Linked DNA regions of Mus musculus. The protein of the gene in region 1 interacts with the protein of each later gene in a pairwise test. Links are inferred from orthologs where the notes say so. Each region holds a gene or a part of one and is shown in the gene's direction. Other genes may lie near its edges.

Evidence for each region.
Region 2: the proteins of Stx5a (region 1) and Stx3 interact in binary tests that used the Homo sapiens proteins (3 or more experiments, as listed by UniProt). The link is inferred for Mus musculus from reciprocal best matches to the Homo sapiens genes STX5 and STX3.

Annotation. Positions count from the first base shown.
Region 1 is NC_000085.6:8,748,128-8,751,936, forward strand, and holds part of Stx5a (syntaxin-5), read left to right. Parts: intron 1-333; coding exon 334-450; intron 451-527; coding exon 528-584; intron 585-679; coding exon 680-761; intron 762-1,538; coding exon 1,539-1,645; intron 1,646-1,778; coding exon 1,779-1,900; intron 1,901-3,809. UniProt on the Homo sapiens protein: Mediates endoplasmic reticulum to Golgi transport.
Region 2 is NC_000085.6:11,816,568-11,821,176, reverse strand, and holds the start of Stx3 (syntaxin-3), read left to right. Parts: upstream 1-1,773; 5' UTR 1,774-2,455; coding exon 2,456-2,485; exon of another isoform or gene 2,486-2,524; intron 2,525-2,836; exon of another isoform or gene 2,837-4,609. UniProt on the Homo sapiens protein: Potentially involved in docking of synaptic vesicles at presynaptic active zones. Apical receptor involved in membrane fusion of apical vesicles.

The DNA of each region.
Region 1 (3,809 bases):
GAGTAATATTTAGGTACTCTGTCAGCATGTTGTAGGTACAGTTTTGCCTTTTGAAAGGGTTCTGTGGCCTCACAGGGTGAAGTAGAGCAGGAAGGCGGGGACAGAACAGTCATTTACATATGATCAAACCCCAAGTTCCCTTCTCTGACTTCTCTGCTAGGAATGAACAGAGCTAGAAAAGTCTAGTGTCACCTTCTGACCTGACTAGACGCGTACACCATTAGCTGGTTTCCTCTTGACTTCCCTGCCAGAGACAGCCAGAGACTCTTCACAGAGATGGTCTTCATGACTGAAGACTCCCTGCCTAATGCTTTTCTTCTGGTCTCTTACCAGGATATCAATAGCCTCAACAAACAAATTGCTCAGCTTCAAGATTTTGTGAGGGCCAAGGGCAGCCAGAGTGGCCGGCATCTGCAGACCCATTCTAACACCATTGTGGTTTCGTTGCAGGTGGGACCTTGGGGATGGAGGAGGGAGGAGAGGAATAACAAAATACATTCTTTGACCCAATTGTCCTTGCCTTTTAGTCAAAGCTGGCTTCTATGTCCAATGACTTCAAGTCAGTTCTAGAAGTGAGGACTGAGGTAAGTGGGATCAGTAGGTGGGTAAGGACCTATTGTAGGGTCCACAGACCCACTTTCCAGGGACTCAGGAGCCGTGTATTCCTCCCCAACATCAGAATCTGAAACAGCAGAGGAACCGTCGGGAACAGTTCTCCAGGGCACCAGTGTCAGCCCTGCCTCTTGCCCCCAACAACCTTGGTAAGTCAGTAGTAGCACTATGGGAAGCCTAGGGGCTAAGTTCTTCTGGGTTTGGTGGCATCCTTTAGACTTCAGAGTGTAAACACAGTAGAGTAGGAGAACGGAGCTGCCAGAATGGTGCTGTGCATTATCTCAGAGGACAAACTTGGTTTTGAAACTTTATGATCTACACTTAACCCTTGTGCCTTCTCATGGGAAACATGAGACATATCATGTAGACATATCAGAAAAATGACAGTGTCTGACTTTTTGTACTTAGTTACATTCTCTCTAATTTTCACAACCAGCCTTTGGAAAAGCAACTATTGTTAGCTCCATTTTGCAGATGAGGAAACTGAGACTCAGATCAAATAATCTATTCAGAGCTGGATTTAAATCTAGTGGGTTTTGAATGTGTTTTTATTTTTAAAGCTAGGGTCTCATGTAGCTTGGGCTGGCCTCTAGCTTGTTAGCTGAGGACTAAACTATCTCCACCTCCCTATGACTAGTATAACAGGCAAGCACCACCATGCTTTGCTTGAACCATGCCTATACATTCTCATGTATGCACTGTGTGTGTGTGTGTGTTTTGAGAGACAGACAGACAGTGGCAGTCAGACAGTGACAGTCAGGGTTTCTCTATGTTGTCTTGGCTGGCAGATCAGATTGGCCTCAGACTCATAGAGACCCCCTTGCCTCAACCTCAAGAATTCTGGCATTAAAGGCATGTGCTACCAATGCCAAGCCCTGAACCTGCTTTTAACCATTAAAATGTGCCATGTCCTATTTTCCTCCCAGGAGGTGGTCCCATAATTTTGGGAGCAGAGTCCCGAGCTTCCAGGGACGTGGCTATTGACATGATGGACCCTAGAACAAGCCAGCAGCTTCAGCTCATTGATGAGCAGGTACCCAGGCTCTGAAATCTGGAGAATCAGTTTCTCTATTGTCTTCTTTGTTCCCCTGAGTGTTTGGAATGTGTCATGGTGAAAAAGTCTTAAAAACCTAGGCCCTAGTTCATGGTGTTTTCTTCTTCTGAAGGATTCCTACATCCAGAGTCGGGCAGACACCATGCAGAACATTGAGTCTACAATCGTTGAGCTGGGCTCCATTTTTCAGCAATTGGCACACATGGTTAAAGAACAGGAGGAAACGATTCAGAGGTGAGACACTCTCACCCCATACAGTGCAGCCTTCTCTTCTCCATGGATTGATATCCTGAAGTCCCTAGGGACAACTTGGTGTTCTTTGGAAGAGTGGAGTGAATCCTGCCTACCCACTAGTCCTGTTCCCCTGCTTCTACTCATTCCATAAGAATTTATTTAGGGGCTGGTGTGGTGGTGTATGCACGCCTTTGATCCCAGCACTCTGGAGACACAAACAGGCAGAGCTCTATAAGTTTGAGGCCATCCTGCTCTACATAGTGAGTTCAAGGACAGCCGCTGAGGCTACAGAGAAGTCCTTTAAAAAAAAGAAAAGTAAAAGAAAATGCCTACCATGCATAAAGGTTTAGGATCTGTCCTCAGAATCATAGAGAAAACAACTGGTAGGGACAGCCAACTGGCTCATCCGGCAAAGGCATTTCCTGCACACGCCTAGTAACACGAGAATGGTAACTGCTGCCAGATAAAGGTGAAAGATTTCAGCGCCACAGGGTTGTCTTGTGATCACCACATCCATGCCTCCTACCCCATAATAATAAATAAAAATGTAAAAAAAAAAAAAATCAAACAGCTGAGAAGGGAGCACAGTGTGCTGACCTTAAAGTACAGCTACTCTCGAGGATTGTTTGAACCAAGGAGTTCAAGACAATGACATCAGACCACCATGATCTGCTATGTGGATGCTGGGAATTGAACTCAGAACTTAAGTGAGTGCTCTTAACCACTGAGCCATCTCTCCAGGCCCACAACCATATTTAACCCTAGTTTTAGGAGATCCAACGCAGGCATCAGGCATTTAAAAGTTGATTTAAAATGTCAGCAGCAGAAAATGTCAGTGGTACTGTTGTAGCAGCCTGAGAAATCTGTAGAGCCCGCGGGATGTGGGTGCTCGCTCCACAAGGCAGGGTGAAACAAAGCTGACTTTAGAGAGCAGAAAGACGGTGAACCTGAGAAGGGCAAGGACAGTTCTTATGAAGCTTGTCTGCTCATTATGTTGAAAACTCCTGAGGTGCTGGCTCAGCTGTTAAGAGCACTGGCTGCTCTTCTGAAGGACCCGGGTTCAATTCCCAGCACCCACATGGCAGCTCACAACTGTCTATAACTTCAGTTACAGGGGACCCAACATTCTCACACAGATGATAGCCATGCAGAGAAAACACCAGTGTACATGAAATGAAAATAAGTAAATCACTTAAAAAGCAAAAAAGAAAAAGAAAATTCCTGAGGTGTAGGCAGCTAAATGTGTATCAGAACGGGGTGCAGGAGTTTCCTGATGGATGCCCTTTTAATTTCCTGACTGTCCTGCAGGCCTTGCAGTGTCCTATAGCTTCAAGTTGTTTGCTGGCCTTGTTACTGCTCTTTCAAAACAGAAAAGCTTGGTTCTCCAGTGTTATTTGGAAAAACCAAATATGGGCTTCAGTGGCACTGCTTATATTACTTTGTATGGAATAACTTGAAAGAAGATGCTGTGTAACTTGTATCTCATTAGGAAGCATTTAATGTCAGATTGCATTTATATCAGGGAGGACAGATATCAGAAACAGTCTTCCACCCCATGATCAACTCCAGGACCTTGTACATGCTGGACAGTATTCTGCCATTAAGTTACACACTCAGTCATTGTTTTTAGCTTTTTTCCTCTTGAGTGAGAAACTCAAGGCAAAGCTCAGCAGATAAGTTTGCTTGCTATAAAGCCTTGATGGCCTGCATTTGGTCCCTGGAACCCACATTGTAAAAGAGAACCAGTTCCCACATGTGTCCTTTGACCTCCACATGAGGGCCATGGCACATGCATACTCATACATACACACAGACATACAAAATAAATATAAAAGAAAAATTCTTTTTTTTTTTTTGTTTTTTTTTTGTTTTTTGTTTTGTTTTAAAAGATTTATTTATTTATTTATTT
Region 2 (4,609 bases), about 3.1 Mb from region 1:
TTGTGGAGGAAGCACTTTACTGACTGAGCTATCTCTTAAGCTCTGACTTATGTTTTTTTTTTTTTTTTTAAGTGTCTGGATTAAGGCAAGAAGTAATAGGGAAGAAAACTTGTTCTGTATAATAACTTTTTAACAGAGCTGGTACCATTCAGTCATGGAAGGTACTACCTTGGGAGTATACAGAAAAACTGAGCAAATTAAAATGACCAGTGACCACTAACAAAAAGCTGTTCCATGCTATGTATCCTATGGTGGCCTTATCTAATGCACCTTTCTGATTCTATAATAGTCTGTGACTTTCATTGTATCACAGCTATTGTCCAGCTATGTAAATTAGATATCGGTAGTAAGCAGAGTGCTTCTATTCATGGAGATTATAAGGACTTAGTGTACAGGAGAAGCACGGTTTCTTCTCCCATCCCCAGAGCTAGTTTTGCATCAAGTAACCTATTCATGCCAGCCTTCCTGCTGTTTGTCTGTGGATCTGAATGAGTTTAACCTCTTACTGGTTGCTTCACTAATAAGCTAAAACATTAAAATATATTCATTTTATATTTGCATGAGAGTCACAATTTTTTCCCTGTTGAAATCAATTATATCCTTTAAAATAATTTGCTGGGACTTAAAAAAATTTTTTTTTTACTTGTATGAATGTTTTTGCCTGCATTATGTCTGTATACCACATGTGTGTAACCTCTGCAGAGCCCAGAAGAGGGCGTTGCATCCCCTGGAACTGTGTGTCACCATGTGGATGCTGGGAATTGAACCCAGGTCCTCCAGTCAGTGTTCTTTACTGCAGGGCCGTTTTTTGCAGCCTAAAATCAATCGCGTCTTAACTGGAATCCTTTGTTCTTGCTTCAAAATGAATCCATCCTCCTTCCTCACTTCTGTCCAGATTTCAGACGTCCACACTTCGAGAGTTTTTCACTGTAACCCCTCTTACTGGAGAGGTTGAAACAGGAGAATGGCAAGTTCAAAGCTTGCCTGGGCAATTCAGGGAGATTCTGTCTGAAAGGAGAAAACCTAAGGGCTGATGCTAGAGAATGAGCTCGGTGGCGGAAGGTTTTCCAAGTGTTTGCTGGGCTGGGGTGGGGGTGTTCAAGCCCTAGCTGTAGGGTTACGACCACCAGGGGGCGTGGAAACTTTCGCAGTCCTCGCTGGGCCAGCGTCAGGACAGGAGCCGGAGGTCAGATAGAGGATTAGAGTTGATTACCGCATAGTTGGCTCTAACAGCTCAAGCCCTGCCTTACTTGACTACCTTTATGGCAGCGGAGGAAGTCAGTAGGAGCGTGCACATCGCAGAGGGTAAAGTCCGGTTATAATTAGAAAGTATCTATGGCCTTTAAGATTGAACACAAAGTCGAGGATACTTCTCGAACTTGAGACCAAGTCTTCACTAGCGCCAATTGTTGACCACTACTCTGGTCGATACGCCATTTGTTATCCCCAAATCAAATACGGAGGGGAAGGGAATAGGGGCACCGTTGAAGAGGAAGGGCAGTGAGAAGAACCACACTTTTCTAAAAATTCTTCAAATCCCAGGGCTCTTGACAGCAAGGAGGAGAGAGGTGGGCTTAAGTTTTCCAAATCAAACAAACGTCTTTATCCTACAACTCTGCCCGGTAGTTAAAAGTCAGTTGCTTCTTTTCTCGTACAGGCTAAGCAGAAAATTGCTAAGCAGCCTCTGATTTATATAGCTATGGAAACGGACTCTCCTAGATTCCCTCAAGTTATTCAAATTGTTAGTAAAAGGTGACTGGACCGCCTACACGACTTCGAGAGGCCCCACAACCACTAGCATCATAATCCCCAAATTCCTCGCCGCAGCCCGATCCAGGGCATCTCATCTGCAGTTACGCCCTACGGGAACAAGTCTCTGAGCCCGAACCGCACAGATTTTATACCCAACAGGTCCCTTCTTTAAGGCGGAATATCTCTTGAGCATCATCGGAACGTTTTCCCTCATCAAAGGGAGCAGGAACCAGCTTGTCTTCAACCTGAGGAGTCCGCAGAGGGCCGAACAATAAGAACAGTGCGGAAAATACGGAATCGAAGCCAGACAGACCACCCCCGCCTTTTTTTTTTTTTTTTTTTGTTTCTGCCTTTCGAGGGGCATGGGAAGGTGTGCCCGGAATGCTTCCGGCGCTGGAGCGCGCTGGCCCTTTAAGCAGGAGCTCGGGGAGCGGCCCAGGTATGGGGCGGGCCCAGGGGCGGGCGAGCCCTGAGCCGGCGCGGTCTCGTAGCCGGATTTGGAGCGCGGCGCCGGCGGGGGCCGGAGGGGGCGGCGCGGCGGACCTCGGTGGCCTCGGACGCTCCTCCTCGAGAGCGGCCGCCGCCCGCCTCCGCCCGCTCTAGCAGCTCTCTCGCCCCGGCCGGCAGCCGCCGCCGCTCCAGGCCGCTCACTTGGGACGCGCTCACCTGAGACAAGGCGCCCGCCGCCCTCACCTGGGCCAGGATGAAGGACCGGCTGGAGCAGCTGAAGGCCGTGAGTCCGCGGCGCTTGGGGGATCAGGCGGGCCCCGGGCTGCGGGGATCGGTCATCAGGATAAGTGGCGTGGGAGAGGGGCTTCTCCTAGTTCCCCTAACCCAGGCCGCAGGGGTGCTCTGCGCGCTAGGCCTCCCTCCGCCCAAGCCCCCGCCTCATCCCGCGGAGCTTTGCACCCTCCCCTCCCCTGCAGGGTCATGTGCTCGGTGATTCATCACCTAGCTGCGATTTCCCTGGACGCCCGTAACCCTCTTACCCCTTCTCCCCCAAAGCTGGACAGGGTTCCTCCAGAGCTGGACCCACTCGGGGACTTGAAATCAGCGGGGCTAATGGAGAAGTCAGGGGGCTCACCTCACCAGCTGTCTTCTGCCGCCTGGCACTGTGCCCCAAACCGGCCTCCTCTCCTTTCTATTTCCCTCCCGGAGCACCGGGCAGGGCTACTCCATCCCCGGAGTAGTTGAGAGTTCCGGGTGACTTCCGGAGCGGTGAGCCTGTTAGGTGCTGAGATGGCACCCCTCTTCCCATTCAGTGGTCTGTAATTATTTTGTCTTGTACCCCCGGAGACAGCTGTGGTCGTCTGCCGCACAAAAGCTGAAAAGCTTAGGTCACTTACTCTTTTGAGCCTATTTCCTTGTCGGTCAAGGGAGAATCTTCCTTCCTTATAGGTCTGTTATGAAGGTTGAATGACATAATGGGATTGATATAGGGAAGTGCTGAAGCATCAATTTTTGGAGGTATAGATTCATTTAGTAAGTTACTGAGCACATTCTATGGAGCAGGGCGAGTGTGAAACTTTAGGAACCCACCCGGTGATACAGGCTGCCACTTAATGGGATATAACAGTGCAGCCCTGGAAACTCACAGTGGAGTCTGCCTCCTAGCTAGCCTAGAAGCGCGCATCAGCTCAGATCTCAGACTAGACCTGGTGAAGGTCTCACCGAGTCTTCCCAGGTGATTAATGAGCTCCTTACAGTAGGGAAGTATTAGTCTGCATTAGCACTGGGGCTTTGCCCTGGCCCTACTGCTTACTGGTTACCCTTTAAACTCCAAGCTTAAGTTTTGTTATCTGTAAAATGAGTAGGTATGCAAGCTAAAAGCAAGTGAGCTGCAGGAGAGCCCTTTGTATGGCGCCTAGGACTTATGCTAATAACTTAATGTTTTTTTTTTTTTTGGCTTTTTTTGTTTTGAAATAGAAATGTTGGTGTTGTAATTGTTTTACTTTCTCCTCCCTTGCAGGGATGAGATCTTCCTCACCCTGTTTGCATGCTCTGGGTCCTGGGCTGTAGAATAGGTTTGGGAGATGGAGAAATGAGAGAAGGAAGAGACAGTTGCTTATTGTGGGAGCCAGCCTCTGCCCCAAAGTTGCTTTTTCACATTTGAGCCTCAGGGCATCCTGGTTAACTGAGGGGCAAACTTTACTTGGTGCTCTTTTGTAGTTGGGATAACCTGGATGGCAGGGATGCCCCTTGTCAAAAAGAGTTCAGAGCTGAACAGCAGTCAGAGGCCGCTCCCTTTACTTAGTCAGGGAATCTATTTTGAGACTAAGATACTCCCTGGCTCTTTTCAGTAGTTGGTTGTCAACAAAGTAATCTTAAGTGAGCTTTGAGTTCCAAGAACAAGGCATTTTTCTAGGGAACCGGAACACGTTCCTTTGCCTCTCAGCCCTGCAGGGTTAGCCTCTGTAAATCAGGGCTAATGCAAGTGAGGTGCTAGCTGGTGCTATATTTATGGTAGTGTTCTAAAACCACAGGGAGGTCGCTGTCCTTTTGGAGCAGTGCGATGCAGAGAGGATGGGGTTGAAGTTCAAAGGCTTCTCTAATTGAGGCCCTGACACTTAGTAGCCGGGATCCTTTTGCAACTTCACCTCTGTGCTGCTGCTGCCTCAGCCACTGCTTCTTCTTGATTATTCTTACTTATTTATTGACAATTTCATTCACGGATACAATGTATCTTGATAACTGACCCAAATCCTCCCTCCTCTATCCTCAGATAACCTCCCGTACATCTAACAGTCTTGTACCTTCATGTCTTCTCTTTCCTTTTCTCTTTAAAAATTTTACATAATCAATTGAGTCCAGTAAAGGATGCCTGCATGCAAATCAGTATGGGGCTGTCTACCAGAGC